Linked DNA regions of Lonchura striata. The protein of the gene in region 1 interacts with the protein of each later gene in a pairwise test. Links are inferred from orthologs where the notes say so. Each region holds a gene or a part of one and is shown in the gene's direction. Other genes may lie near its edges. The genes, in order: KIF5B, PRKAR2B and zinc finger and BTB domain-containing protein 8A.

Region 1 (10,483 bases):
CATTTTAATTACACAGTTTCAGTGTCAGGTGATGTTGCTAGACTTCATAAGTCATCTTAATAACCTTTATTTACAGAGTGTGCTGCAAACAACCAAGAATTTTGTTTGAGGTACACTGTATCTGGCAGATTAATCTCTCTTTTGTCCTGCAAATCCACTTGCAAATTTGGAAGAAATTTGACCCAAAATGCACCTCAAATTCTCAGAAGTAATGTAATATATTTTCCCAGCACACTGCAAATTAAAATGAGAAGAGTACTTGTGTTTGCATAAAGCACTCTGAATGTCAGCAAGTGCTGTCAACCGATGAATCTCAGAATTTAATCCTTTAAAGGGGCATGAGGAAGCAGCTTTAATTTGCTTCTCCACAAACACCCGGTTTAAAGATTTATTCAAATATGTAATGTTCTTTTAAAACCAAATCAAGATCACTTTTGCTCTGCTAGAACAATTTCGATGGTTAATTACATAATTATCCCGATATAGCTTCCCTGTAAGGCTTAGGTTTGCCAATTTGCTTTGCTTTGCAGGTTTTTATTGCTGGGAAAGACTGAAGATCTGAAAGAGCCATAAGTCATAAAAGAATTTGCAGAGGTTTATTGCACAGTTCATAAATGGAAAGAAACATGGTTAGTGAACTAACAACACAAATTCCTCACATAAATTGCTTTAATAAAACATGTTAGTCTTTACTAAGAAATTTTACTAAACTTATTGTCAGCTACAACTGAGATATAGATTTTTTTTCTCATTATATTACTTTTAAAGATAGTCTCTTATCCTAAGTGTCAAAAAATGTATGCTATAGACATTACATAACAACATAGAAGACAGCAAATATATTCTTAATTGGCAAAGAAAGTGCATTCTGTTATTACCACAAAATGGGAAACTTTCCAGGATGCTTGGTCTCTGCCATGTTCTCAGGAGACCACATCTTTAAACACAAGTCCTCAAGGCTGCTCTTCTGACACATCTTGGCGCCAGTAGAGATAACACAGTGCCCTCTTTGAGCACACGGCTTTGTTGTGTCAGCCTTTAAGTAGGTCATGCCAAGGAGCAGTTGCTATTTTGAACAGATCAGAGAAGAGAAACTTCATGGCAGTCCCTGACAGGGATCTGAGAGCACACGAGTGGTTCAGCAGAGCACCTTCACCAAGAGCTCCCACAGCTGGGATGGGACACCATCAGCCTCTTCTCCTATGGGCTCACACAGGACAGCTTCAGAGTGGCCAGTTCCTACTACAGAGTTCACACATGCTGACATCTTTTGTTTCAACATAGTTAAAACGAATCATTATCTACTCATGTGTCTGTGTTGTCCTTGTGGAATGTCTGCTCTGTCAAACATTCAACAGGTAGGTAAGCAAGGCCAAGCACCTATTTTCTTGACAATCATGTAATCACGAGGTTTCTTTTTTGACTGAGATGTTCTAACATCGGGCACTACATGTCAGTAAATGCAGATAAAGGTACATTCCTTCTGCTTACGGATAACAAGAACTAGAAGTTTCTTCAATACATTAGGGGAAATGATATTCAGCAGGTGAAATGTACTTCTGTGAGTAATAATCACAAAGTTGTTTATTATGCAGCTAATATTGCTTTTTCCTGATGTACAGAAGTAAATTAATTTAAAAAGTAGTAAATATTCAGGTTCCTTTCATAAAAATAATAACCTTCTGTCACAGGAAATCTTTGATGATTCAAATCCTACAGCTGCATAAGAATATTGCTAGCCATAAGCTTGTGAATAATCCCAGAAATAGATGAGATAGAAGCATTAATACATCTTGCTGCTTGAGATACAATGTAATAATATCTAACATAGCAACCAACTAAAACAGGTTTTCTGACATGTAAAACCTAGTAACAATTATGTTTAAAGCATTTTATTGAAATCTGTAGACAGATGTCTGTGTATATCTCATATGCTAGATGTTGTGGACTAGCACTGCACCTTCTACAGACTGAGCTTATATCTTGCTTTTTCCAGACAACTATTTCCACATGTGCTCATAGGTGTGGACACATCATTGTTGCTGCCCTGAATAAGACAGCACAGTCCCGCTGCATTTTTAATCACAGTGGAAAAATAAACTTGTTACAACATGAACTCAGTTTAGAAGACATAGCTTACCTCATAAGATAAACTAAGCACAGAAATATTTTTTGCATTACTCTGTGAAAAGAACCTATAAGTGCAACTAGATTATTAGGTTATTTTTCTGTCATGTGGAGCAGTTTTGAAGTGTTTGCCTTGCACACCTATCCTAAGTAAAAACACATCACTAAAATCCCTAAACTGAACATCACTAAAATCCCTAAACTGAGAAGTCTTAAAAATGGGGGATGGCTGATTACAGATGGTCCCTGTTAAAATTTACAGTAGTTTCTCCTTTTTTATAATGAAAAATGAGTATTTTTAAGTACACTTAAAACTGCTCTTCTGAGTAATTCTGGCTTACTAAAATACACTAACTTAAGAGAAAGGCTCCCTATTCTTTTTCCATTTTTAAAAATTAACTTCAAGGCTATTTGAAAAATTACCAGTACAAATTATGATTTCTGTCAAGAAACTGGCTGAACTCAGCCAAGCTGTGAGTTTGTACTCTGTTCCAATCTGAAAGTTCATGCTTGGATGAAAGAGGCACAGTTGTAAAAGTGTGAGATTTTTGGGGCTCTCTGTTAGAATTGTTTACCTGATGCTTTTGTCTAGATACAGTCCCTAAGTTTTGGTCAACTACATTTAGAGCCCCTATAATAAATATGTAAACAAAACTTGCAATAAATTAAGCTTAAAAAAATTCCTGTCCAGATTTTCTTTTTTTTTTTCATTTGGGGTGAAAAAGTGGTGAGAGTCTCCATCCTGGGGGCGACATAATGAGCTGTGAGCTGTGTGTGTTCTGATCCCACTCGCTGGGTTCCTGCTCCAGGATGCACACAGGCAACGAAGCTCATGGGCACACTGGCATCTGTGAACACCTCATGGGTGGGAATTTTCTCTCTTTTAGCTAAAAGAGGAAAAGAAATGTAAACAAACAAACTAAAAAACCCCAAATATCATAGGTTCCTATCTCAACCACCTGCTTTAAGCCTTTACCTCACACTCAGCCCCTAAGGTTTATCACACATACACTGCTGTCCCCAGCAGTGCCATGCCCTGCTGGGGTATGTCTGACCTGTCCAACACCAGCTGCCAGCGGAGCTGAGGTGGCAATGCAGATCGGTGTCTGACATGGCCATGTCACCTGTCCAACACCAGCCACCAGCGGAGCTGACGGAGCTGAGGTGGCAATGCAGATCGGTGTCCGACATGGCCATGTCACCTGTCTGACACCAGCTGCCAGCAGAGCTGAGGTGGCAATGCAGATCAGTGTCCGACATGGCCATGTCACCTGTCCGACACCAGCTGCCAGCGGAGCTGAGGTGGCAATGCAGATCAGTGTCCGACATGGCCATGTCACCTGTCCGACACCAGCTGCCAGCAGAGCTGAGGTGGCAGCACAGATTGGTGTCCAGCATGGCCATGTCACCTGTCCGACACCAGCCGCCAGCGGAGCTGAGGTGGCAATGCAGATCAGTGTCCGACATGGCCATGTCACCTGTCCGACACCAGCTGCCAGCAGAGCTGAGGTGGCAATGCAGATCAGTGTCCGACATGGCCATGTCACCTGTCCGACACCAGCTGCCAGCAGAGCTGAGGTGGCAATGCGGATCTGTGCCCCACATGGCCATGTCACCTGTCCGACACCAGCCACCAGCGGAGCTGAGGTGGCAATGCGGATCTGTGCCCCACATGGCCATGTCACCTGTCCGACACCAGCTGCCAGCGGAGCTGAGGTGGCAATGCGGATCTGTGCCCCACATGGCCATGTCACCTGTCCAACACCAGCCACCAGCGAAGCTGAGGTGGCAATGCAGATCAGTGTCCGACATGGCCATGTCACCTGTCCGACACCAGCTGCCAGCGGAGCTGAGGTGGCAATGCGGATCTGTGCCCCACATGGCCATGTCACCTGTCCGACACCAGCCACCAGCGGAGCTGAGGTGGCAATGCGGATCTGTGCCCCACATGGCCATGTCACCTGTCTGACACCAGCTGCCAGCGGAGCTGAGGTGGCAGTGCAGATCGGTGCCCGACATGGCCATGTCACCTGTCTGACACCAGCTGCCAGCGGAGCTGAGGTGGCAGTGCAGATCGGTGCCCGACACTCCTCACTAGGGCGGCAGCGGCCTCATCCCTGCAGCCCTCTGCCCATCACCTGCCTGAGGGAGCTGGGGGTGATTAGCCTTCAGAAAAGGAGGCTCAGGCGTGATGTTTTTGCTCTCTAAAACTGCCTGAAAGGAGGCTGCAGCCAGGTGGGGGTCAGCCTCTTTTCCCAGGCAACCAGCAACAGGGCCACAGGACTTAGCCTTAAGATGGCCCAAGGGAGGTTCAGGTTACACAAAAATAATTGTTAGACATTTGAATGGGCTGCTCAAGGAGGCTGTGGTGGCTGTCCCTGGATGTATTTAAGACTGGATGTGGCATTTAGTTGATATACATTGTACTGGATGACCTCAGGGCTTTTCCAGCCTGATTCTGTGTGGATGATGCCAGGCTGTGCAGGAACGTGGAGGAGTCACCATTCCTGGAGGAGTTTAAGAGGCATCTGGACTGGCGCTGGGTGATATGGTTTGGTGCTTTAGGGGCCACAGGTAGTGCTGTGTTGACAGTTGGACTTGATGACCTTAAGTGTCTCTTCCAACCTTGATGGTTCCATGATTCCATGATTCTATAATTCTATGATCCGATGAGTTTACGGCCCCATGACCCCAGCGGCACCGCGACTCCAGGCGCTGCCATGGCGCCCCGCCCGCCTGAGGCAACCCCGCCCCTGCCCGCGCCCTCGGCGGCCCCGCGGGCACCGCCCCGCCCGGGGGCGGAGCCGCGCCTGCGCACAGGGCGGGGCTGGGGCGGGGCTGGTGCTGCGGTGGGTGACGTCACCGCCCGCCCCTCCGGCGGGGCGGGGCGGGAGCCGCGGCCGCAGCCGCCATGGCCGGTGCCATGTTGGGGAGGAAGTGAGAGCGGGAGGCGGCGGCGGCGGCCAGGAAGGAGCCCTTCCCTTTTCCCTCCTGCCGGGGCGGGCGCGGCTTTCCCGGCCACGGCGGCTTGCGAGACCCCCCCGGTGCGGGCGGTGCGGCGGCGGCAGCTGGCGGCGGCGGAGCTGAGCGCCCCGGAGGCGGCGGCGGCCTAAGATGGCGGACCCGGCGGAGTGTAACATCAAAGTGATGTGTCGCTTCAGGCCCCTCAACGAGTCCGAAGTGGCCCGAGGCGACAAGTACATCGCTAAGTTCCAGGGCGAGGACACCGTCGTCATCGCGGTGAGGGCCCGCCCGGGCGGGAGAGGCGGGAAGCGCCGGGGGAGGGAGGGAGGGAGGGAGGGGGCGGCCGGGGTCGGCGGGGTCACGCCGCGGGGATGGGCGCGCTGTGGGGCGGGAGGGCTCGGAGCGCCCGCGGGCGGGGACCCTCGGGGCGGGGAGCGGCCTCCTTGGAGACCGAGGCGAAGGGGAAAGGGGGCAGGGACGGCTGCGGGCGGGGTGAGCCGGTCCGGGTATGGGGGGCGGTGGGGCAGGTCGGGAGACCTTTGACAAAGGCGCAAGTGCCGAGGTGCGGAGTGAGGGCGAGTCCCGCAGTGTCCGCCGGCCGGGCGCTGCCCGGGCCGGCCGGCCGTGCTGTGAGATGCTAAATGCACGCGTGGGGGCTGCCGCCCGATCGCTGTCTGCGGAGAGTTTGGGCAAGAAATGCGGAACGGCAGTGCAGGCTCCAGAGCTGTACATCGGTCTTCAGCTGATAGCTTCTTTTTTGTTGTTGTTAAATCAGAATAAACAGACCATTTGCCTTACTGCATGTTCCTAAGTGTATTTTAAGTGGAGTCTCCTTGCAAGGTCTCCTGTTAAAAACATTATGGATGTTGTAGGGGAAAAGATAATCCTTTCCTTTTTCTCCAGTGAATCATAGCTAGCTACAAAGTGGAGCTAGAATATAAAAATAAAGTGCAGTTGTTTGTTGCCTGGTTTGGTTGATGTTGTACAAACACACTTTAGCCCCAATGTTTGTTTTGTTTTTGTTAACTTTTAATTTGTGTTTTCGTGTAAATATATTTCATGAGAAACTGCTGATTCTTGCTGAAAGTAACTTAGAGACCAGTTATCTGTCTAAAAATTTTAGGGGTTTATGTTTTGTTTTTTGAGGCTACCAATAATAGCTTTTTTTGCACAGTATCTGAAGCTGCAGGAAGCAATAGAGGCAATTTAATAAAATACTTTTTTTGTAATAGGATTTACTAAATACTAGTGCTTTAGTCTGATAATATTCAGCTGAATTTGCCAATAAAATATGGAATTCCATGAGTCTGGAGTGACAAGAACAATAGCATTCTTGTGAAATGAGGTAATTTGGGTTTATTTCAGCTGGCAACTTACTATCTTGGAGTACATCACTTCTTCCTGAGGTTGTACAGGTAAACTCAGAGGAAGGAAGCAATCCTGGAAAATGGAAAATATAACTTGAGTGAATAATCTCACTTTCATCAGTAAATACCCATTCATTGTGACACTGCATAGTCTGTTTATAATCCACAGTTCATTGTAGAAACCCTAATGTGTTCTAACTTAAAAATAAATTTTCTTCAGTAGCCCTCGTATAAATGAAAGCTTATATTTCTAAAATATTCTTTAGGTGCATTTTTAAAATATCTAAAATGTAGAGGTAAATAAATATCTGAATATCTAAAATGTGCAGAGGTAGTTCTGTATCTGAGTAGAACAATTTGACATTATGTTCCTGAGGGATCAGGTGGGCTTTCTGTTCAGAATTGATGTTTAGTGTTGCCAGCTGTACCTTGGTGATTTCACCTTGGAAAAAATCACAACAGATTTCCTAGTTGTCCTGGATCCAGGACTTGCCATGTCTAACTTGGGGGAAGATGCCCCCAAAATTATTAAATGGGGTAGCAGTGACAGTATTTGTGTCTTGTTTCACAAAATTTGAATAAAGGTTTGATAATCTCTGATTTTGTATTTGTATAATGATGGCTATAGGACAAGATTGATATACTCAAAATTTTGACTTGAATCTCTAAAACTGTTGACAATAACTTGTGTTTGGTGCTTTTGTTTTCAATAGCTTGAGTGAGTTTTTACAAATTTAGAGAGCCTCTAACCTGGGCCTGTAGTCAGGCACCACTTCTTTCTGTGTGTTGCAGAATTGCCCAAGGGAGGATAACAGAAGCAGTGCTCCTGAAACAGTGTCTGAAAGGCTTCCTCCATAAGCTGTGTGTGTGGTTACCTCAGCTCTTTGGTTTCTGCCCTTGTTGCTGCCTGTTGAGCAGTAATTGAGCCACTTTTGGTTTTTTATAGCTGCTTCCCTCAGCTGCCTGAAGGACTTGCACCTCCCGTGGGTGCCTGGCTCGGGGCTGGAGCAGTGGAGGCTGCCTTAATAATCCTGGGAGTTGCCTGTGATGGTCGATGGGAGGGGAAGACTGGGAGGCAGCAGAGCTGATCCCAGGCTGCAGGTTTGACTCCTCTGGAGGAGGGTGGGGAGGAAAATCAGTGACTATAGCCAAACCCTCCTCCTTCCTTGATTCCCCTGTCATCTCTGAGCTAGCTGTCTTCCCTTCTTTTCCTAGCTCCTGCAAAATTAATGTCATCTTTGTCTTTCTGGACAAGTGAGTCATTTTGATCTGTGTTAGATAAAATAAAAGTTTTAACTGTAGCTAGTGTGTAACAGCAGTTTTAGGGGACATAATGGTGTTGGTCTGCTTTAAAGAGCAGATTCTGAAACACAGTATTTTCTTTCCACAGGATGAAACTTTTTAACTAGTAAAGGGCTTTTAATTTTTTAATTGCAGGTGACTTCTTTCTATCTCAATAGTATATTAATTATTTTTTCCTAATGGCTTCTTCTGTTAATTAAATACAAGGATTTTGTTAAAACAGATTACTCATTATATGACTTTTATGTTAAACATTAGAAATGTACCTGTATGTGAAAATTGATAGCAATTTGCTAGTGGATTTCAGGCTTTTGAGTAAGATACAACAAGGAGGAAGAGCAGTTTAATATGGGATTATGTCCTTTGTTTTATCAAACATAAAGCTGCTTGCAACTGAGTAGCTTTAGAATTCTGCATAATGTATCTGAACATCTTTAAATAACTTTCTATATCTAGTCTTGTTAATCTTAAAACTACCCAAAAGATACATTACTGAATACAGTGACACTCTGGGGTTTGGAACTGAAGCCTGAACCAAAAGCAGCACTCCCCAGTGGCTGCAGTGATGAGGCCTTGTGGATGTGCACAGAAATGGGTAGTGTGCCATTGTTGTCCAAAAGGATTTTGGTAATGATAATTGTCCGTTCCTCATTTGTATGGCTTTCAGGAAAGAATCATGCCTACTTATCTATTTTCATATTTAAGATGTACCTCTGTAATCCTGGGAAGAGCTTGAGACATTTGGCTTTCTTTTTTCATTGTCTTTTAAACTAGTGTTGGATTGTAAATGACACAAGGCTAGGTTAGAAAGTTGTTAGAATCAGGTAATGAAAGTCACTTGGTACGACTGCAGCTTTTAGTAGTATGTTTTCCAAAAGAAAAATGCTGAAGACTGTACTGGACTGTATAAATTCAAGAAATTAATTACCTTATTTAAAGAAAGCAGTGTTTAATTAGAGGAAAAAAAGGCATCAGGTCTATAGTGGAACTTTAAATATGAATCAGGAATTGCAATCTGTAGCTGAAACAATACTATTCTTCCAATGTTTCTCTCTATTTCTTTTTCTTAATTTATTCCATTAAATGTTGAGTAACAAAGGTGCTTTTCAGGTGACAGTGGTGTGATGATTTAACAGGAATATTCCGATGTCCAGGAATCTGTAAAGGCAGAGCTTTTCTCCCTGGCTGCAGAGCCACTTGCGTAGAAACACCTTGCTCATATTTGCCTAAGTTTTCTGTCCTGAATTTCACTGAAATTCAGTGACTGTTTTTATAAACAGCAGTACTTGCTTTTCTCTTCAGAAGACACTTTCTACTAAAGAAAAATTTTGGCTGAAACTTTTATTCAAAAAATATTCTGTTTCTGTTCTGGAAATTGAGTTTCTAGTCACAGTGTTAAATCACATGTTTTAGTCATTCTAGAGCAATAAATAACTGCTGAAAGAGTTAATACTTGAGTTGCAGTATTTCCACAGAAATAAGAAAAAGAGGATAAAAAGCTGAGATTCACTGACTGTTCTGTATCAGCTGCACTTTTGTATGCATGAGGCTAATGCAAGAAGAAAATCCTCTTTCTTTATCCTAAAATTAAAATACTCATTAGTAATTGTGCCTTTTCACCCCTTGACAGTGTTAGACTTGATTAGGTGTGTCAAAGCATCAATACCTTAGCTTAGTAATAGGAAGAAGTGAGTCAGGTATCTGACATAATACTTTCCAGAAATTATTCCATTTTCAATAAATCTTGTAACACATTTTGTGCTGATGGGAAGAACATTCTTTAATATAGATGGAGATCTTAAAGGCAAAGTAAGCCCATTATGTACTACTTTAACCTTTCACCAAGAATAGGCTAAGCGTGGGTAGGTATTGTAGCACTATTTTATCTGTCCATTCTAGTAAAAAACATTAAAGAGCTTCTGCCTGTGTTCTGGTAGAAAAATATGCTACTGATTTTTCAAGTGAGTTTTTTACTAATGATTTAGCTTCAGATATCAGTGCATAAGAAGTAAGGTAAACTCAGGTGATCTTATGAAAAACCAAGTCTGTACTTTATGGAAAGTTGCAATAATAATAAGGGATTTTTAAAATTACATTTATGGAGATAACTTTTAGTATTTCTCAGACTTTTGATGTAAGTTTTCAGTGTAGTTGTGACTGCAGATTTTTCTGTAGTCTTCATTGGATATGTTGACAAAAACCTTTTCCACATAAGTTCACGTGTACTCTAAATTTTGTATAATTTAGATTGGCTGAGCATCCTATTATATAGTGGGTAACTAGTCTTTAAGTTAGCTATGGAACTGTACTTCAGCATCATCCCTTTATTAAGACTCAGTTTAACTACTGCTAAATCATGTTGGCAGCTGCACCTTTCTGAAGGCTGTGAGGGCACTTGGAAAGTTTTGCTGTGAGACCACGTCCCTTCAAGTGCAAGGCAACTGCAGGAGCTGCAGTTGTCTTGTGGTTGACTACAGACAAAAGAAATGCTGGGCAAGGAACTAAAAGAGCCTGAGAGAGGAAGTTAAAAGTGCTGCTTGTTTGCTTGCTATTTTATGTCTCACTTATAAGGCCATGTGTATTAAATTTCTAACAGAATTTGAGCACCGGTTTCTGAAAATTTCAGGAGTGTGTCAAAGCAGCCTCATACTGTGTTGGTGACACTGCTACTACCCTGTTAGGGACACCACACAGTAGTGCTTGGGCCCTTTGTGTCTTCGGCT
Region 2 (10,995 bases), on another chromosome or scaffold:
TCATCTCTTAGATCATATAAGCCTCTTCTACTGAGCATGGTAACAAGTGGGTAGATAAATGTTGAGAATTCTCCCAGTCTTTTCACCTCAAGACGTTTCCTTCAGCTTGTGGATAATTCCTACGTCTCTTTTCTGCACATCTCCATTTCTCCATATTCTATTGAATATATGAACACTATATCTGTACTTTTTTTTACTGGTCTCAGGAGTGCTTTATTGAGGGAAGATCTCCCACTCCTGTTTTTGATCTCCCTCTTGAAACAAGCAAAAATCTCATTTGTCTACAGAATTACACCAGAAATTGGAGTAAAGCTGTTTTTCCATTCTGATCACCAGACTCTTCTAGAAGCACTGCCTTCCAAGACAGAGTCCTTCTGTTCTGTAGAAATCTCTTTCTTCTGAAGTCAAAGACTTAATAAAGAGCTTGTAGAGTATGATTTTCTTTAAATGGACAAGTCATCCAGATCATCCTATGCTTCCCCGAGCTCAGTGGTATCACTGTTCAACTGGGTTTTGTGTCATCTCAAAGTTACATCAGCAACATTTATACTTGCTCCCATGTGATTGCAGGAGGTGTTGAACAGAAGCAGCCTACAGTCAATTCTTGGGGAACTTCTCCATCTGATGATTATTTTCTGTCATTAGCTACTTGGAGAGATGTCTCTGTTACCCATTTAACAGGTTGTCTTGACAGTGCATAGTGCCATTTTTATAAAAAGTGTAGGGCATCAAACGAAATAAGATCCTCAAAATAGATGAAGTCTACTACATCTACACTTCCATTTTATTTCATTACTCTTAAAATGGGAAGGTTTACTTTTAATGACAAATTCAGTACTCACTATATCGACTTTAGAAACTCTAGGCACATTTTTCTGAAATTACAGGTGATTATGAGAGCCCAAACTGAGGCACATCAAAAGGAGCACTTTTCTAAGAGACAGTATCCTGTAGTTTCTGAATATCAAGGATGACAAACAACAGATTTCAATGGCAATCAACAGCTGTTCATTTACTGAATAGTAGCACTTGTAAACAGAACTTGTAACAAATCACAAAGCTCATATTCCCTGGAAAATAGTTTGGGTTTAAAAAGGACTTGGTGAGTGAAAAAGCAAGGGACTTGAGGTTAGAATATGTGATACTCTGCATTTCTTTTGAACATATTATCTCAGTAAATGAGGTGGATGGAACACTTGGATTCAGGACCAACATAAACCAACTAGAATTTGAATTGCTGATAATGTGATACTCCTCCTCCTGAGCCATGACTTCTGCTCTCTTCTCACGGAGAGCATGATGATTCATCTCAGCTCTAACAGTCATATAATTTCACTGACTACATAGCACTACAATGCCTAAAAGGTGATACAAGGGAGAGGAAATGAACACTTGTTCCTGGGTTAGCAGGTGCCATTTTGTGTGAGGAAACTCCTCAAACTGTGTATGTGGTTAATCTGATTGTGAATTGGTACTGAAAGTGGCAGGGACTCTTTCATTTACACTGCTTTGCTGCTATTCTGTTTCTTCAGGTGGATTCCTTCCACCCAACTTTCAAACTTGGCCCTTCTGTTTGCTCAGGGAAAACCTTCATTGACGTAAATAGCAATTTTACTTAAGTATGTAAGTGGGTATTGGTTCTTGCCATTCTAGGTTTACAGTAGGCAGTGGAGGAGTTAAGGGGTTTGAATCCACAGAACATAAGCACAGACAGAGTAAAGGGTATGAGATGAAGGAGATTCAATTGAAGGAAGAATCATGGGGAATATGTTAGAACTTGATTCATGCATCACAGGCACTAGTTTCTTATATTGTTTAAAGAACTGAACATTTTTCTGAAAAATGGATTTGGGCTTGGTAATGGATTTTGTAATACAATAATGGTGACATTCGAATGAGAATAGAAAAGTGTGAAACTATGGATCTACACAACTGCAAGTTTTGTTATTGCTGGAAAATTCATTGCTAAGTGATTGCTATTAAAAACAGTTTCAAAATTCTGCGAGCAAGATTTGCCTATTAAGCCAGAAGGACCTGAGTAGGAAAAAAAAAAGTCAATACATGTAATATTTTAAAGGTATTTTGGAAGATCAGAAATTGGTACATGATTATTCCTATGAACTGTGGTTGTTCTAAACTCACAAACCAGCTATCACTCAGTCAAGAGCCAGGAATAAAAAACATTACTGTATAGCTGATGAGATTTTGAAGCAAATATAAAACATGTTGGGATTTGAAGATGCCTTCTGACCAGCAGCTTTTTTGGCATGCAGTATGCAAAGTGTATATTTACTTAAAATTTCAAAAGCCTGGACAAAAGATTTGAGATATCACAAATCAATGATCTTTTAAACACGGGAAATTTAGGGAGTAACATCTCCCAAACACAAACATGAGTCTTTTCCTACTATCCTGCATTAGGCAGAGGGCCTGGCTTTGCCATGTGTTTCTCCAGTACAATATGAACTCTTTCCATGGAGAACCACTGTAGAAATGACTAGATTGCCAAATTGAGAGAGACTGTTACAGATGATGAGATCAGGATCTCTTCTTTCTGGGCTAGCTCTGCAGCAGGTCCAAGGACACAGTAAGAACAATCTCTCTTGCCTGACAGGATGTAACAAAGGGCAGATTTAAAAGCTGGTATTCCACTGGTGTGCTTTCTAAAGTTGCTTTCCTCAGGGGAGAAAGGGCTTTGCCCTGGCTTACACCCTGATGTTAAGTGTACACTTCTGCCCCTCTGAGCACCACCACAGCATCGCAGTTTAGCCGGGGTTCATCGGGAGATGGTTGTTGGAGAGCAGGTCTTGGGAAGCACTGGGGAAAAACATTCTTATCAGGCAAAACATTGAAAGCTGGCAGAAAAAAAAACAGGCTTGTAGTTGGATGCTGAATGGACTTTGTTAGGTCAAGTTTACTAAATTTACATCGACCTGGTAAAGACAAAGCCTGAAAGTCTGGCACTCATCTGTTCTGCACTGAGTTAATTGTCCTCCATGTGATCAGAAAATATCTCATCCTCTGAGCTCTGACAAAGTATTCCCAGCCACTGTCTGAAGCATGCTGTCTGGAATTGTCCTGTGGGAGACAACTGCTATTTCTCACCTGTTAGCTCTAATCACCTAGTTTCTCACTGCTGCAAGCCAGGTGAAGGGACAAGAACGACATGCAAAGCAGGTAAGCAGTATGTTATGAAAAGGGCATTTGTTGGCCAGGAGGAAAGGACATAACAAAGTCTTTATGTTATTTCCTTTGGAATTGTGAGGCGAATATTCTGCCTAATCCTTTTTCAGTACAGTAGGATTTCTGTAGGTTGTAAATTCTCTTTCTTTTCAAGAAGATATTTACAGCTGAATGAGATGGCACTCAAAAATTAGTAGTAGCTAATGAAACTCATTGGAGAGGTGTGAACCAATACTCTCACTATCTAACTGTTCACTCTGCTAGACATAACACATATTTTTGGCAGCTGTCTTCCTTACAAGGATTTAAAAGCAATTTAAATATCAATACAAGGTCTTTGGAACAGAAAGCATCTAAGGAAACTAGATGACACCAACTTGAACTACAAAGTTTCCTGCCATCCTTTGAGATACACAAACCTCAAGGTAAGTTTCACTAGACACAAATGTTTTGTGCTGTTTTGAAACCTTTTTTAGAAAGAAGCATTTTTTAGAGTTCTTCCACTTAGGAATCTCTTATTCAAATTATCTGAGTTTTACATAAAAGCATCAAAGGCTGGCTCTTGAGGATGTCTTCAGAGGAGTGATCTCATTTTAAGTCTGGGAGGATGAGAGTCTCTGACAAACTAGGGGAGTCCTTGATTAAATGGCGAAAGACACTATGCTACTGGTAAATTCCTAGAAAAAAAGACTGCCTTGTCTGGGTACAAGAAAACCTCAGGGATGATAACTCTTCTAACCTTGGAAGACTCCATTAAATGGAATATTATATGCTCACAGGACACCTAGTGCTTGGAAGGCACTAATTACTAACACTTCTCTTCCTGGGAGCTTCCTCAAAGCTTAGGTATGTCTCAGCTTGGTCACAAACAGATCAATCCTATCAGTGGTGTGAGAAGGTTTTTAAGCTCCCAAACTTGTGAACGAGGCAATCTGGTATTTCGAGGTAACCCACGCTCCAGACTAAGCTATGCACCTGTCCATGATGTACAGGTGCCAGCTCTCCTGCTGCACCTGATTCTCAACCATTTTAATGTGCTACATGCTGCAGCAGCAGGGCTTCCAGCAGGCAGGTGTGGTCAGGGCATGCCAGCACTGCAGCAGGGCATGGAGTGGGGGTGTGCTGGCAGCCCCCTGGACGCTGCAGCAGTTCTTGGAGCCTGATGATAGAGCAAGCTTCTGCAGTCCAGAGAGAACTCGTAGTCTGCCTCCAGACGACTTAGCTTGACTTTGAAGAGGTTCCTCAAGCAGGACGGTGCTAAACAACAGTGAATTTAACTTCAAAAAAGTACTTTATGCCTGCAGCATAAAGTGAAGCCACAAGATGTTGCCTGAAGGTATTCCACAGCTCAACTGGTAGAGATGTCTCCTGCCTGTTACAGGGCAGCAATATCACCCACGCAGGCATGGTTTACTCACTTCACTAATTTACCTGGTCTGTAACACTTTGAAGATCCAATCTGTGAACCAAGCTCCATTTGAAAATACATACACAATCAGAACTGGGTTCCATTTGGAAATTAATTGAACTTAAAACTGGCTTTGATATCCCTGCGTGAAAAGTGTCACAGAGATTGCTGTATTTTGCTGTCACCTTATTTTTTCGAGGTCAGGTCTTTCAGTATCTCGCTACTGCAAACTCACACTTGACTGCTTATCTTACCCTAAGCCCCTATGAAGCTCATTGCAAGGCCATTTGAAGAATGCTGAATGTTTAATGAAATCTATTCTCAAACAGCCATGTTGTCACAGCCTTTAGAGGGTTTAGCAGTTAATTTGCTTGATGCATAAAAATAAGACTCGAACAGATCTTTCTGGAACCCCAAAACGTTGGCCAATATTCAGAGGTGATAACAAAGGGGGGGGGGAAATGCAGCTATCAAGCATTCTATGGACTTCACTTTCAAGAAGCAGTTTAGTGAAGCATTGAAAAACATGGCACCCGTAATTGCTACTTACTCTACTTAAAACATTTAAGCTTCCTGGTGATGACAAGCAGCACCCACTTACCACTGTGCTAAGTATCTCTGCAGCATGGCTTGGAAGAGCGTCTATGCCGAGCGTTGGCATTCAGCAGTGTTTAAATTGGACTTCTTCCCCCATTTTTAAACAATTCTTTCTTTTTCCAGCTAAATTTTTCGTGGACCTGAAACAAACAGGATGTTCTTGCTTGCACCACATCACCCCTCCCAAACTAAATGATACAGATGAATGTAAATCGACAGCACTTGTATGCGTATGAATGATGTGGAGAAGAGCTTTAAGGTGGTGCATGGCCGTGAAAAAGCACAGCAGTGCACTGCGGTCCTTCCCTGAGCGGGGACACGTCCGCTCAGCGGGAATCCCCGCTGGTCGCGGGGCGGATGCCCGGACACCCCCGCAGGGAGACGGCGCTCACGGTTTGGGTCCCCGGCAGCCCGTGGGTGGCGGGGGCCGCGGTGCGCGGCGTGGCCGTGGCCCGGCAGGGCAGCCCGTGCGGGGGCAGGGATGCGGTGCCCTGCCCTGCCCTGCGCTGCCCGCCGCCCCGCCGGCTCCCGCGGCGGGCGGGCGGGGCGCGGCGGCCGCAGTCCCGGCGGGAGGTTGTCATGGTTTCCCGGGTCACATGCGCGCGGGTTCCCCGGCGCGGGGGGAGGCGCCGCCGCCGAGGCAGCCGGAGCCGCTGCCCCCCGCGGGCCCGCCCCCCGCCCGCTCCCACCTGCGCCGCCGCCCGCCCCTTCCCGCTGCCCACGGGCGAGCTGCCGGGCGCGCCTCGTCCCCCGGGCCGCCGACCCCCGGCCCTGGGCTCTCCCCCCCTCTCCTCCTCCTTCTCCTCCTTCTCCTCTCCCCTTCCCCTCACCCTCCCCCTTCCTGGCCGGGCTGCGCCCCCCCGGCCGGCCCCGGCATGAGCATCTCCATCCCGGCGGGGCTGACGGAGCTGCTGCAGGGCTTCACGGTAGAGGTGCTGCGGAGCCAGCCCGGGGACCTGCTGGAGTTTGCCCTCCAGTACTTCGGGCGCCTCAAGGAGGAGGCGGCGACGGCCAAGGCGGCGGCGGAGAAGGAGCCGAGCGGCCGCCGAGCGGGCACCGGCCATGACAGGGGCACTCAGCCGCCGCGCCGGGGCCCCCCCGACGCCCGCGGGGTCAACTTCGCCGAGGAGCCCATGCAGACCGACTCCGAGAGCGGCGAGGACGAACAGCCGCCGCCGCCGCCGCCGCCGCAGCAGTTCCCGGGTAAGGCTCCCCCACCTCGCCGGCCCGGGGGTGGGGGCGCGGGGGGCTCCGCGGCCGCCCGGGCTCGGTGCGCGGCCGCGGGGATGGGCTCGGGGCCGGGCCGCCCGCGGGTGCGGGGCCGCGGGGCCGCGGTGCGCGGGCACGGCAGCGGCGGCACCGCGGGCAGAGACCGCCCGCGCCGACAGCGAGCCCGCGGGAGGCTCCCCGTATCCCGCGGCAAACTTCAGCCTCCCGGGCTGTCCCCTGGGGCTCGGCGTGCGGGTATCACCGGCTGCGGCGCTGGAAGCGTATGAGCCTGGCATAGTCCAGCGAAGATCTATCCGTGTGTTTCCTTTTTATAGGAGCAGATCTGCATTCCGTGATTAGTGCAAGGGCATGTCTGCCTTAGAAAATACCTCCCGTGGGCATGTTGTTCACGCACTTGATTAAACGTTTTGCGTAGATGTACTTACATGTGTTTTAGAAAGTAGAGCACAATTTAAAACATAATTTCTTCCTGAAAGCCAGAGTTAAATTTTGTGCATTTAGAAGGGCCTGTGGAACAAGTGTTGCTGTGACAGCAAAGGACATTTGCAGTATCTTTGTGTTTGAAGGTAACACCGATCTACACGCAGCTAATGACACCTTATCTTTGTGTGGCTGACAGGTTTTATTTAGGGACTGTGCCAATCCATCTGCTGGTGTGGGTTATGGGACGGGTGGGAGCTGCCTCTGAAGGGTGCACAGTGCTTTGTCTTTGTGTCATGAGCAGGCTGACTGAAGGGACAGTCAGTAAGGTTAGATGGAGAAGAGGAAAGCGTCCGAGCATCTTTATTGTATTTTTTTGAGGATAGCTTGAGGCGTATCTTATCAGATCATCAAAGCAGTCATCCCTCCGAGTCGTGCTGGAGGTAGACTTACTTAGCAGAGTATGGAAGGCAGCTGTTTGCTAGTTGAATTTCAGTGCAGGTTTTGAAATGATGTCTTATGTGCCTTTCATCAGGAAATGTAGATAAACAAGTAGGTGTTTAAGAAATGGGTGAGTTTTCAAAATGCTTTGTGTTACCCCATAAGACAGTCGCCATTCTTCTCATCTGTTCTTTCCAGCTATACCCACATGTATTTAATGAGAAATTGAATCTGTCAATCAAGTTCTGCAATTTTAAACTGTAATGCTGATTCTGTGAGATTGGTAGAAATTTGAAAATTTGCTGTCTTTGAAAACTGAAATAATCATAATGTGGAAGAAAAAAATTATCGCATTTCACTAATACTAGATGTGGCCTTTCAAACATTAATTATTCTAACACCAAATCTCATTGCTAAATGGAAAACTGGAATGTTGTATGGAGGGAAGTACATAAAAGTAGTTTTATTTATTAATATGTATGTGTTACGTACCTGTAACTTTACAGGATGCTCTAAGAAGCTTTCTAAGCTTTTCAAATGAATACCAGTAATTAAGATTCTTTTGACAGTCTTTTTGTTGTGATTGTGAAGAGAAAAAGCTATTATTGCCAATATTCTCATTAAGGGACATGCTAGAATCTCTTAGTTTGACAAATTGATTTACTTGTTTGACAAAAACCCTTTAAAATGCCACATTTTTAAGCCTAATATATTTTGAGCATTTAATTGTATTATGGTTTGTAAATTCTGTCTGTTCAAATAATTGTTAATTAAAAGAAACAAAAAATGAAAATATTTGTGAAGCCATGTGAAGATTAATAAGAAGTAACTCATGGTAAATGATTATTAATAGTGTGCTTGTGTATATGTACATTGTGCAGGAGTGTGTATTTAAAATTCAAATTTTATGTCTGCCCTGAATATATTCTTCTAAGGTAACATAACAATGAATCCATTCAGCCTTTTGTTAATAACTGGAGGCATAAAGGCTTGTACTCAAATATTTGTTTAATGGGTTTAGATACCAATTTCAAAGCATGTTTCTTCTATGCTTTTGCTTTCTGTTTCTAGAAGTAGCAATTTTTAAGAACTGACGCTTGGGAGAAAGTTTTAAATTTTTTTTGCCTTTATGATTTATTAGACGACTTCCATATAGCAAATTTGCCCTGTTTGCATCCTTAGGAGAGGGCAATAAATTTAAAAAGTGGATAAGCAAATGCAAAATGAAAACCTCTGTTAAGGAGGTCAGGCCTGGTGGTGGTGGTATCTTTCCTTTGCTAAAGCCGTACATTTGAAATCTCAAACTGACAGTGTTCCTTAATTAATTCAATCAGAACATTGTTGAGCTCTCACTGTAAATGCTCCAAACTTTTATTTTCCTACCAAATGTTTTTAAGTACCTACAAGCTCTGCAGTTGAACTCTTTGTCAATATTAGTTTTGTCCTTGAAATGTATTTTGGAAGTGTATCCTGTTTCAGAAATGATGAGCTGAGGCATAAGCTGTGTTAAAAAGAAAAAACCCCTGTACTCAGGATTAAGAGTTATATGTGAACCTTGAATTAAAATCTGTTCAGGTCTTTATTGTGTCCATTACCTCGGCTGCAGAAATCACATAAAGGTAAAAGCAGTTACCTTGTCTGGAGGGAGAACTTTGTTGTATTGGTGTCATAGTTTTGAATTGACACCTGGAGTTAAGGTGACCTCAGAAATGACATTCTTTATGTTCAGAGCATTTAGATTATCCTCTTTGGAACACATGGTTTAATTTGGGAATGTTTTTCAGGTTTTCTAGTTGGTTTGTTTGGTTGGTTTTTTAAAAAAATATTTAATTGTCCTACATGGGTATATTGGCATTAATCAGTTACAACAACTAATTCCTACTCAAATAAATAGCAGACACTAAATTGAACAGGAAATATACATAAAAATGAGCCCTGTTTTAGAAAATATGTCTAACTTTTAGCAAGTCTGAATTGCATATTAAGATTTATTATATTGTGTTAGCAACATTTGAAAATGCTCATTAAATTATTTATTCTTTTTACAGTGACTATACTTTTCTTCTGACTTTACCACTTACATATTGATTTGCAACTTATTTTGATGGGCAATAGCCTATGTAATTTGTAACAGCTGTTTTAAAATGGTTGCCGTAGATAAAAATTTCATCTAGCCTTAATATGAATTAGTTGAAGAGTTTTTTGAGGTAACATTGCTGTTCCTTAAAGTCAAAAATTACAGTGCTGCATATATCATTTGGCACACCGTAGCCTCTGTTTACTTGATTTTTCTTTTGTTTTGTTTTACTTCAGTTTGTTTTGGTATCTTTTTCAGATAGTGGTGTATTTTAACAGGAAAATACTACAGCTGTCCCTCTCCTCCCCCGTGTACTTCTGTTGGTGTGTTGGTTGCTTTGGGTTCCTTCTTTGGAAACTTGAGCTAGAAAATGCAAGTCTGTATCTCAGCTTAACCCACTGATTGTGCCTAAATAATATGAGATCACTGTTTAGGTAAAACATGCATATTCTACCTTACAATACTAATTTTAAAGGCATGTCTTTATTTTAGTTCATTTATTCAGTCTGAAGTGCTTACAGATGTACTATTCATAGAAATTTTGAAATAATAGGTAAATTGTAGAAACCAGAAAAAACTTTGCACGCAACTACATTTGTGCCATGTGTACGTAATGGGCAGATCAGAGCAGTGGAAGGGCTCAGGAAGGACAAGGTAGCAATATAAAAATACATACAAGTTATAGTGGGATACCCTTAAATCAGGGGTTGTATAGAAAAGCATGTGATTTTCTTATAAATATATATATTCAAACTGAAATCTGTGGTATGATGGATAATGGCTGAAATCACTACCATCTGATATGTACTTAGCCAACATGAGAAATGAAGTTTTAGTAATTTCTACGGTCACTCTTTTGAAATACAGAAAGCAAGCAAGCATTATTTGTATGATTATAAGGACAACCCCAACTGGACCCAGGCTGGGGTGGATGCAATTTAGAAGAGAAGTTTCCAGCCACAGACCAGTCCCTTGGGAGCATGGCATTGTTGGAGCATTCCTTGGCAAGGCTTTGGGCCATATCTCCTTGCAATTTTCTAGACTATGCCTGCTGTCACTCAGAGAATAACGTGTAAATTAAGTGTTCAGGGTGGGTGTTTGAGAAGAAGATGGATTCTGTGAGGGAAAAGAATTCCAGATGCAAAAATTTGGTGCCTTGCTGGTCCAGTGGGCCTTGGTCAGGGGTTGGCTACTGGCTGCTATTCTCTGTTAGTGTACACAGTCACAAAAACATAAAGCTTTCTATCCTTGCTGTAAATCTTAAAAAAAAATTCAGATTTTCAAAATTACAGTTTTCAGTAATTTTGACAGGAGCAAATGAAAATATTTTCTTTCTGCGAACAGTTATTTTAGAGAGTAAACCCAAGCAAATTGGCAGTTGTTTGTGGTTTGTTTGGGTTTTTTTTAATTCCTTAATCTGACACAGGTGTTTTATTCAAGTTGAGAGATTTGTCATCAACAAACTTAGTTTGACAAAATTATAAGCAACTGGAAATGTGAAGTTGTAATATATACCATTTATATACCACTTTTTTGGTAGGATTTTGACTCCCTTTCAGACATGTATCTACTTGTGATTATAGATGAAAGAATGCTTTTGACACAGCCACTTAAAAAACATAGGTATGTTTATATTAAT
Region 3 (10,789 bases), on another chromosome or scaffold:
GAGGGACAACTCCTGGAGGTGCCACTTTTGGAGTTGAGCTGCTCTGAAAATCCTGCTGTGGTTTTGGCTCCTTGGTGCTCTTGAAAACCTGAGCAAAATGTGGGGCTTGTAGATCTTGCTGGAATGTTTGGAAAAGCACCTTCCATCCTCCCAGGGCTTGTCTTTTGGACTACTGGATTTTTGGTGAGTCCACCCAAAACCACAGGGTGATAAAGGTGATAAAAGAGGGACTTTCTGCCTTGAGAGCCATGGATAATCTAATTTTTTTTTTTTTTTTGGGAGACTCGCTGATGGAAGTGAGGCAGGAATGTAAATAGGGATCCAATTAATATTTAGCGACCAGGCTCCCCCAGCTCTGGTCATGAAGATTCCACCTTGTTGTAAATATTGGTAGAAGCCACTAGACCTGGAATATCAGCTGGGCCTGCTTCTGGCTGGGAAATTCCTGCTGTGGCCGAGCTCTGCTGGCTCTGAGCCCCTGGAGGCACTTGGAGCAGAGAAAATGAACCCTTTGGAAGGGATATTCCCTTTGCAGGAATATCTGCAGAGACCTTCTCCTTCACCCTGCTGTTTTTGGTCTTAGAGATTTGTCCTTGTGTGTTTGTGCCTAGAGAATGGAGCTGTCAGGGGTCCGGGGCGGGCGGGGGGAGGCTTTTCCACAGGGAAAGTTCCACCAAACTCGGTGTTTCCTGTTAAATTGTCATTTTGTGCTGCCTTTGTTTTGTTTTTTTTTTTTTTTTCCGTGGAGTCTTTTCAGCCTTTGGATGTAGAAGAGGATGGAGTTTATTTATCCACATTCTTGTGACCCGGGGTGTTCATGTAAATCCGTTTGCTTGTGCTTTCCACTTTGTTTTTTGGATGTTTTTTTTCCTGAAATCTTCCATTTGTAGATCCAGCCTCTACAAGCTTTGAGAAAATGATGTTGGCTGTTTAAAAAAAACAAAACCTTCCTGTGGTGCTTGAGGAAGAATCAAAAACCATGTTTTTAGGGGAGTTATTCTAATAGAATCTCTTTCTCAAAGGTTTTTAAAGGCCGCGAAGATGACGTATCTTAAAACTTAGCTCGTTGTACTTGACTTTGTTTAGGAATACACATTTTAATGTATTTTTGCACAGAAATGCACTGTATTTCACTGAAGGAATACATGCTGCACTGGTGTTTGTAGTGCATTTAACCTCTTGGTGCGAAGCCCTTGTAAATCTTCCAAATGTGGTCGTTGAATTCCCTGATGTTTTGTAAGACAGTTTCATAACTGAAGTCCTTTGGTCCAGTAACAATGACAAATTCTTATAAACCGAACCTTATTTGTGGAAGTGACTGAACTATATTTGTGGATCTTGGAACATTCTGGAGTTTTTTGATTGTCTAGAAAATAAAACTCTCTGAGAGGGTTGCTTTGATTTTTTTTTACTGTTCCCATGTTGACTGAGTAAACCTGAGAGTGTCTAGATTGAAGGCTCACGTTTCAATTTCTGGCATTAAAATTAAATAATTATTTCCATTCCATTAATTTGGCTTAAAAATTAATATATCCATTTTTGGGGACAGCTAGTTTGCAAGAAAAATCAGGTTTTTGGAAGGAAAAGACTAAAAGGATTCTGTTCACGTAAACCCCAGCCAAGTGAGACTTTTAGAAAATATTTTATATTATTAATACTGGCTTTTTTTTAACAGTCTTGTAGTTTTATGTTAATTCAACTTTTTAAACTCCTTTTAAAACTTCTCATTTTTCTTGCTAGGAAGCAGACACTGATCCCAGCTAGGAGGAAATACATGTGAGGAGGACAACATCCCAAATATCCTTTCCAGAAAATTTTGTGTTATATCCAATATTTGACAAAAAAATCTTGCTGCAAGTAGACAAATTTCCCTTTTTTTTGTTTTTTTTTTTAATTTTTTTTCTCATGAAAGATTGAGATGCTGAAGAACTCAGAGGGGATGAGGGTGGTTATCTCCACCCTTGGTGAAAAGGATTCTTTGTGGGGGAAGGAGGAGGAGAGCAGGGCAGCTGAGGGTGTCAAAAAGCTTGGGAATGATTTGGGGAGGAGAATTGTTTGGATCCAGCCCTAAGTCATCAACATGAGCTGGATGCAAATGTGGGACAGTTGGGTGTTCTGAGAAACAGCTGAAAATAAAGAGTTTAAGGAGGGTTTTAATTGTCCTGCTGGATCAGGATTAGGATCAGGCTTTCCCTAAACTGGCCTTGCTGCCAGAGGGAAGAAGGGAAGATTCCTCCCTGGGTTTAGGACAGGACATTCCAATTTCCTGCTCATTTGGAAAAAGGAAAAATCTCCTGGTGCCCTGGAGGCTCCATGGATTTGTACTGGAGATTTGGTTTTATACTCGAGATTTCGATTTGTGCTTCTAGATTGGATTTGTATTTGAGATTTGGACTTGTACTTGAAATTTGGATTTGTACTCGAGATTTGGACTTGTGCTTCTAGATTGGGATTTGTGCTTGGAGATTTGGATTTGTGCTTCTGGATTTGGATTTGTGCTTCTACATTTGGATTTCTACTCGAGATTCAGATTTCTACTCGAGATTTGGATTTGGGATTTGGATTTGTGCTTCTAGGCTCAGATTTGTACTCGAGATTTGGATTTCTACTCAAGATTTGGATTTGTACTCGAGATTTGGATTTGAGATTTGGATTTGAGATTTGGATTTGTGCTTCTAGGCTCAGATTTGTACTCAAGATTTGTATTTGTATTTGAGATTTGGATTTGAGCTTGAGCACAAAGGTGGAACTCAAACCCCGGGTGATTCAACACTCCTGGTTTGGTCCTTGGGAAAGGTGAGGAGAGGAATGATGATGCAAATGAAGACAACCCCAATCTAAGGTGGCAGTGATCACATGAAAGTTGTAATCCCATGCCTGATTAATTTCTAGGCTTTGAACAGTTCCTTAAGTTGTTCTAGTATAAGCTCTTGAGTTTTCCTTGGTAAAAAATATCCCTGGATAATTCAAGTTGTAAGATGCACCATAACTGAAGGCTGTGATTCCTGAGGAATGTTTATTTTGAAGAGAACTGCAATCTTTAAATTGGTGCCACAGTTAATTAAACTATTATAATACATTACACTATACCATTATATATTATTACAGTTAATCCTATTTGGTTACCAAACCCAAGGAGAAATGTACATTAATTTTTCTGTGAGCAAGAAAAATATTAATTTTTTTTAGTGTGATTGTTCTCTGAAGAGCAGACTCTACATTCTGGCTGTGAGGAGCAGCTCCTTCACACTGCTGCCAAGCACATTCCCTCTGGATAAACTCTCCAAACAGCATCTCAAGTGGAACTTTCTCAGCTGAAATTTGCTCTAAAATTTAGAAATAAAACCTAAAAAACCTCTCTGATGTCTGGGATTGTTTGGGATGCATTATTGTGCACAGCAAGATGAAATCAGCATCTCAAGTGGAACTTTCTCAGCTGAAATCGGTTCTAAAAGTTAGAAACAAAACCTAAAAAACCTCTCTGATGTCTGGGATTGTTTGGGATGCATTATTGTGCACAACAAGATGAAATCAGCCCCGTGGATGAGGAAACCAAAGTTTGTTCTGTGGCTGTTCCTGGATCCACAGCACAGCAGTGAGCAGGAGGTGCTCTGAGGAAAGCACTCGTAGCATCTTTAAAAATTCTAATTAAGCCACTCCAGATAACATTGACATTTCCCCCCATATTTTTTAAATTCTCTTGCCTGTTCCTGGCAGAAGGAGAACCCTCGAGCTCCTGTTGACATTGATATAAAACCCCACTGACAGAGGAGTGAAAGCACCACCCAGGCAAGTCAAACAGAACAAATACCTCCAGATAATTCTTTTCCAAAGGAAGCTTTCAGCTGATGGAATAATTTGGGCAGAAGTGTGGAAAAACATTTATAGAATATTGAGAAACATGGTGTCCCTGCCCATGATCTTTAAGATCCTTTCCAGCCCAAACCATCCTGGGATTCTGTGATTCCACATTAAATAAAAAGAGGTGCTACTTACTTGGCTTGACAGGCAAAAATAAACTTTAAAGGAATTCATTTCAATGGTATTAAAACCTGATACTAGAAATAAATGTTCTGGTTTATATATTAAATAATCTGATGGTTTAGTTGATTGCATTCTTTATTTCTCAGTGGTAAGAGCTGTGAGAAGCTGGTTTGAATTCCAGTTGTTTCATGTTCAAGAATGGTTGATTTAGAGCAGAATCTCACAGAAGCAGAATGGGTCTCATGAAGATTTTAAGAGCACGGCCTGGGTTTGAAAGGAGAATCTACAAAACAAAGAGAGTTTATGAAAAAGGAGGAATTAAGATGGAAAATAATATTGTAACATATACATATATATCTACAAAATATGAATGTAGAAATTAGAGATGACAATGTATATGATGTAGTGGGAGAATGGCTCTAATGATCAAAGGAAATAATCTTTGGGTTGTTATCTTTAGATAAATTCTTTAGCCAATTTTGCTACAATGGGCAAAGAAAGAGAAATTGTTTCAAGGTGGAATGTCTGAAGTTAGAGAAGAGAAGGCCAAAAATGCCACCAAGGGCTCGGTTAGGGAAGAACGGTTTCCATGGGGAAAATAAATATTTATGAAAAGTAACTAGGGCGTCCAAAACACAGAAAAGACCCTGGTGGTAAGAAGAGGAAGGGGAAAGACACTAAACTTCGAGGGAGAGAAGGTGAGAGGTTCAGGTCTCGCTTTCAGCCATGCTTTCTTCAGAAGATAACAGACACCAACAGAGACAAGAAGATGTCACATCTCCTTTGGAGGACGCCGCAAGAGAAAGGAGAAGGATTTGGGTCATCGAGGGCCCTGCTATAGATAAAGGTGTGAAAAGGAGGCATCTAGGGCATCCCATCCCCTCCCGGGCAGCATGTGGGTGTGGGAAGCGGCGAGCGGCGGCGGCCGCGGGGCGCGGGGGCCGCGGCAGGCGCTGGGCTGCGGCTGCAATCGGTGCGTTGCCCCTTTAATTGTGTCCCCAGCCCTCGGGCGTCTCTGTCCAACGCCCACGTCAGCAAATACCTTTTGTTTCTCTCCCGTTCGGGCTCGCAGGGCTCGGGGCTGCGGGAGCAGCGGCGCGTCGCCTGCAGGCACGGCGAGCCCCGAGGCGGAGCCGGGGATCCCGCAGCCACCGCCCGCTCCCCCCGGCTCGGCGGCAGCCGCCCGCAGCACCCCGCCGGTGAGTGGCGGCTCCCGCACGCCGGTAGGCCGGGCAGGGCGCTGGGATTGGGGCGGAACGGGCCCCGCAGCCAGCCCGGCTGCGAGGAGGGCGCGGGGCTCCGCAGCGGCCGCGGGCGCTTCGGGCCGCCCGGAGCCGCCGGGAACCGCTCGGAGCCGCTCGGTGCCGCCCGGAGCCGCCGGGAACCGCTCGGTGCCGCCCGGTGCCGGCGCTGCCGCGTCCCCGGCGGGCGCCATTTGCAGCCCCGGGCGCGGACACAAAGGGGCTGCGCGGGGCGGGCGGCGGAGGCGCTGCCGGCGGAAGCGGCTGCGGGCGGCGGGACGGGAGCGGCACCGGGCGCTGGGCACCGGGCACCGGGCACCGGGCGGGGACACGGGGGGCTCTGGCGGAGCGGCAGCCGCGGCTCCGTTCCCGCGGGCGGCACGGCCGGGCCGGGGCGCTCCGTGCGGGCGGAGGGGAGCGCGCAGCCGGCCGGGGCAGGCGGGCGCGGCGGTCCCGCGGTGGGAGCGGGGCCGGGCGGCTCCGGCGCCGTCGGGCGTCCCGGGCTGCCGGGGACCGGCCGGGCGGGTGAGTGACGGCGGCCGCGGCCAATGCCGGGGAGGCCGGGGCGCTGCCGCCGTGCCTTCCGCCCGAAGCGGGGCCCGGGCGGAGCGGGGAGAGGCGGAATCGCGGGTTCGAGGCGGAATCGCGGGTTCGAGGCGGAATCGCGGGTTCGAGACGGAATCGCGGGTTCGAGGCACGGCCGCGGTCGCAGCCGCAGCTGCTCTTGGCTCCTCGTCTTCCCGGAGCTGCCTGAAGGCTGCGCAGCTCCAGCGGGCGGCACGAGTCCAGCCCCGCATGCTGCCCCGCATCCCGGGAATGGATTTGCTGCCGGCTCTAGCACAGCCGTCCGTGCCAAATAACGCGGTCTTGGCTTCGCCATCCCTCTTGTTCTGTTGGGAAATGAATCTATGGTTGAGCATATCGTGGTTTAAATATATTTGTAGATTTACAGAAATGCTATTGTTTGTAAAGATAGCTGTAAAATTGGGTCTGACATGTTTGGCTGAGTTACACAGCACTGAAGTCGAGAGTGAAATAATTTTCTTCATTTTTTTTAGAGGAACGTTTCATTTCACCTTTTCTGGGATGGAGATTTCTTCTCACCAGTTTCACCTCTTGCAGCAACTAAATGAGCAGCGCAGGCAGGACTTGTTCTGTGACTGCAACATCCTGGTGGAGGGCAAAGTCTTCAAAGCCCATCGCAATGTGCTGTTTGCCAGCAGCGGCTACTTCAAAATGCTCCTTTCGCAGAGCTCGAAGGAGACGAGTCAGTCCACGACAGCCACTTTCCAGGCCTTTTCTCCTGACACCTTCACAGTTATCCTGGATTTTGTGTATTCAGGCAAACTGTCTCTCACTGGTCAGAATGTGATCGAAGTCATGTCGGCTGCCAGCTATCTGCAGATGACCGATGTGATCAGCGTGTGTAAAACCTTCATCAAGTCGTCGCTGGACATCAGTGAGAAGGAGAAGGATCGCTACTTCAGCCTGTCAGACAAAGATGTCAGCTCCAACGGCGTGGACCGATCCTGCGTGTACAGCGGAGGGTGGAGGGCAGAGAGCAGCCCCCCGCATTCCCACTCCAGCCCAGACCCTGGGACTTGTATGATGGGCGGCAACACTTGGAGCAATTTCAACTATTACCCCAGCTCTCAAAGAAATGCCCAGCAGCAGCTGTCTAAACACGAGCAGCGGCAGGATTCCATCAAGAAATCCCGGCACCTGGGGCTGCAGCAGCCTTCAGACATCCCCCACTATAAATCCAGCAAGCTGGAGGACAGGGCTGCCGAGCCCGCCGGCCACGCCGCGCCGCCCGAGGAGCAGGTCCACATCGACACGGAGGTGGAAGCTCCTCACGTGGGCTACCAGTTTGGCCAAGGGGCTGAGGTGATGCCCAGGGGCTTGGCTGTGTCGCAGCAGGAGCACGAGTCACCCCGCTCCTCCAGCAAATCCAAATCCTCCAAAGCTGAGGAGCAGTACGGGAGCATGCCCTCCATCCTGGGAGTCATGGGGAACTGGGCTGAAGGTGAGTGGGGTTTAGACACCTGTGAATCCTCTCTTCTGCCTCTGAGAAAATAGGTCTTACTCAATAGTAAAGCACAACTGTCAAAAAGACAGCTGTATTGTCCAGAAGTGTATGCTTAGAAAGTTTGAACTCATTTCCTTGAAATCATTCTGAGTTCTTGAAGTACCTGGGGTATTGAATTTAAAAATAAGTATAAGTTGGGATATTTTTAAGTTCATTTTCATAAAATCACAGAATACTTTGGGTTGGAAAGGACCTTAAAGCTCATCTTGCTCCACTCCCTGCCATGGGCAGGGACACCTCCCACTATCCCTGGTTGCTCCAGGCTCTGTCCAGGCTGGCTTTACCAGGTCTGTGTTAATACAGCCAATGGCCCACTCCTCCTTTGTTCCACTCCTGTGTAATCTACAGACAAACACAAATCCTTTGTGTTTGAAACAACCCGTGGATATTTTAATAAATGACCTGCTATTCTCCTCATAAAACACTTTTTCCTAGAGCATTACATGACACGATTTTGACTTTTTTTTTTAAATCCCATTATTTTCTGACAGATGACCTGTCCAGGATGAGGTTCAAGTGTCCATTCTGCAGCCACGTGGTGAAGAGAAAAGCCGACCTCAAGCGTCACCTTCGCTGTCACACGGGAGAGCGGCCGTACCCCTGCGAGGCGTGTGGCAAGAGATTCAGCAGGCTGGATCACCTCAGCAGCCATTTTCGAACTGTGAGTATTTTTAGCAACTGCATGATTTATTTAACATGTAAATCTGGCTAATTAAACACAGTGTGAGTGTATCTGGTTGATCTAATGACTCCTGTAAAGAAGAGGGGAATGGAACATTAATTTGGTTTGGCTGCAGTCGAATTGAAGGATAATTTGCAGGAAAGAGGAGGAATTTGTTGGGTAATTGATGGCTTGCAGAGGTTCTGCTCTCTGCAGCCTGTGAGAGCTCCAGTGGGCAATTACTGTGCTGGGGCTGGTGCAGTTCAGCGTTTGATGTCTCTGAAATTAAGGCAACATGTCACCCTGATTCTTAGGATTTTCTAAAGCCTTCTGAATTTACATTCTGTTGGAGAACTTTCCCACACAATTTCTGTAAACAACATATTGTTTACATTCTTTTATGAGGGTGGAGAAACTTGATGTACTAGTGGTTTGTCCAATGTGTTTGGAGAGGTGGCCCATTCACTCTCCAACCCAATGTCACCTTTGGGAAAGTATAAAAGTCGGAGTCAGAGAATAAACTTTCTTCTTTACCTTGGAAATAGCAGGTGGCTCGCGTCGTGCTTTCACGTGTCCTATAGCGACAGCAACGCTGCGATTTGATTTTTGCCATCTCCCAAAAAACCCATTGGTGTTTTACAAATCCATCCCTTCTCGATTTCCCCAGATCCACCAGGCGTGCAAGCCCATCTGCAGGAAGTGCAAGCGCCACGTCACCGAGCTGACGGGCCAGGTGGTGCAGGAGGGCACGCGGCGCTACAGACTGTGCAACGAGTGCCTGGCCGAGGCGGGCATCGACAGCATCCGCATTGACTTGGAGGCGGAGGCGCCTCTGGAGTTCCCGCAGGATGGGGACAAGGATTCCAGGTGGCACTACGGGGACGACAACAGATCCGACGTGGAGATCGTGGAGGACGGCTCGACCGACTTGGTCATCCAGCAAGTGGATGACAGCGAGGATGAAGCGGAGGAGAAGGAAGTGAAACCAAATATTAGGTAGTTGGAAGAAAAGGATTGGGAATTCCGTGGAAGAGGGAGGATGTACTGTGGCCAAATGCCCTCTGCCAGCTGATCCTACAGAGACATGTGGTTGAACAGGTCCAGACTTGCATGTATTTATGGACACGTCATTGAGGCCATGCTGGTTTGTTAGCAGAACCCCCGTGCGTTGTTTGGTTAAAAAAAAAAATCCATCCTGAAATTATGCATCAACAAAGAAACTGCAGTATTATGTGGATAATTTTTATAGAGGGAATGGGGCACGTCTCAAAGCCCCTTGCAAGGAGGTCTAAATACTTTTTAAAAATCACAGATTATTGTAAATTGCCCATTTTTCACACTTGTAGAGAGGTGGGGTTTATATATCATTGGGTTATAAACGAAGTATAAAACCCCCCACACCAGACAACCTCTCTTGAGTGTTCAGAAGTGAAGAGAATCTTCCATGAAATTTCATGAAATCTTCATGTTATGATAAGGAAAAAGGCAATTAATTAAGAAAGAGCATTTAAAATGTTTTGGCACTTTTGTCTGGAAAAGGACTTCTGCAAAATTTATTAGGATGAGGTGAATCTTAATGCTTAACACATCAGAGACAAAACAGTTAAAAATTTGGATCATCAATTGATGACAGTAGATGTTTTAGTCTCAAAATTAGGATATCAGACTGGGCTGTTTTAATAAGCACTATTAAATTACTCTTTTTTAATATTTTGAGACCTTTCAAAAGTGCCCAGACATGGTGGGATTGTTGGGGTGCAGGGCCAGGAGTTGAATTTGGGTGATCCTTGTGGGTCCCCTCCAGCTCAGGATATTTTCCAGTCTGTACCAGTGAGACCAAGATGTACTGGAAGTTCTAGACACCATATTTGTGTCATTTCACCCACAATTAGGCTACAGAGATGAGTAATGGTGAGGAAATTTTACTTTTCTAACAAAATAAGCTTGGTTTTGCTGCTTAGTGAGATTCTCTTACCCAGCACTGTCAGCAGGAGAGGAGCAGGAGATGCTCCTGCTGCTCTGCATTCCTTGGACACACCTGAGTGTCTTTGGATCATGGAACTCAATGGCTGTAGAGTTAGAAAATGATATCTATTTTTTTCTTTTTTACAGCTTTGTAAGCATGTTTGGCTGAACCCCGGGGTTTCTTACACAACAATCCCATATACATATATACATATGTATATATGTATATATACTATATAATCTTTCCCAGGGACAGCTTAAAAGTCACTATTTTATTTTTAGTTGTGTAAAAACTGTATAACTTTCTTGTATCATCATGACCAGAGTGCAGCATTTTCATTCCAGGCTGCAGGTGACCAACAAATGACAACTTGAGAACTTCATGCTAAATTCAGTGTAAGCATTAAGCACCCTCCTCTCCATGGGAAGCATCCCAAGAACACAAGAAATGGTGTTTTATTGTTCCTACAAAAATTACAATTTACTGGCTTAGGTTTGAGGAGGGGTGACTTAAAAATCTTTGTGATGACTCAGATGAAAACATCTTAAACAAGACTTACATTTGATTTTATGGATGATACTTGGTCAGCAGCCTAAAAATGGACTTGATGTGAAAACAGACATTTAATTTCTTGGAGCTTTTAAACTCCTAAAATGCCTGTTATTAAATGGCTAAGAAATATTCATGAACAACCTGGATTTAATCAAACACACAAGAACAAGAAATATTTCAAAGAATATGGAGTAACTTTGCTCAAATTTCATAGATGTTTCCCTTTCCCTGTCCATTAAACAGTTTGACAACAAATCACAGGTATCAGTCCCAGGGTAAAAATGTGTCTGGAATTG

What was found.
Region 2: the proteins of KIF5B (region 1) and PRKAR2B interact in binary tests that used the Homo sapiens proteins (3 or more experiments, as listed by UniProt). The two-hybrid records come from large-scale screens. The link is inferred for Lonchura striata from reciprocal best matches to the Homo sapiens genes KIF5B and PRKAR2B.
Region 3: the proteins of KIF5B (region 1) and zinc finger and BTB domain-containing protein 8A interact in binary tests that used the Homo sapiens proteins (3 or more experiments, as listed by UniProt). The two-hybrid records come from large-scale screens. The link is inferred for Lonchura striata from reciprocal best matches to the Homo sapiens genes KIF5B and ZBTB8A.

Annotation. Positions count from the first base shown.
Region 1 is NC_134603.1:142,637,241-142,647,723, reverse strand, and holds the start of KIF5B (kinesin-1 heavy chain), read left to right. Parts: upstream 1-5,029; 5' UTR 5,030-5,241; coding exon 5,242-5,367; intron 5,368-10,483. UniProt on the Homo sapiens protein: Microtubule-dependent motor required for normal distribution of mitochondria and lysosomes. Can induce formation of neurite-like membrane protrusions in non-neuronal cells in a ZFYVE27-dependent manner.
Region 2 is NC_134607.1:59,473,146-59,484,140, reverse strand, and holds the start of PRKAR2B (cAMP-dependent protein kinase type II-beta regulatory subunit), read left to right. Parts: upstream 1-6,012; 5' UTR 6,013-6,063; coding exon 6,064-6,391; intron 6,392-10,995. UniProt on the Homo sapiens protein: Regulatory subunit of the cAMP-dependent protein kinases involved in cAMP signaling in cells. Type II regulatory chains mediate membrane association by binding to anchoring proteins, including the MAP2 kinase.
Region 3 is NC_134628.1:949,524-960,312, reverse strand, and holds zinc finger and BTB domain-containing protein 8A, read left to right. Parts: upstream 1-5,791; 5' UTR 5,792-6,020; coding exon 6,021-7,251; intron 7,252-7,805; coding exon 7,806-7,975; intron 7,976-8,642; coding exon 8,643-8,975; 3' UTR 8,976-10,015; downstream 10,016-10,789. UniProt on the Homo sapiens protein: May be involved in transcriptional regulation.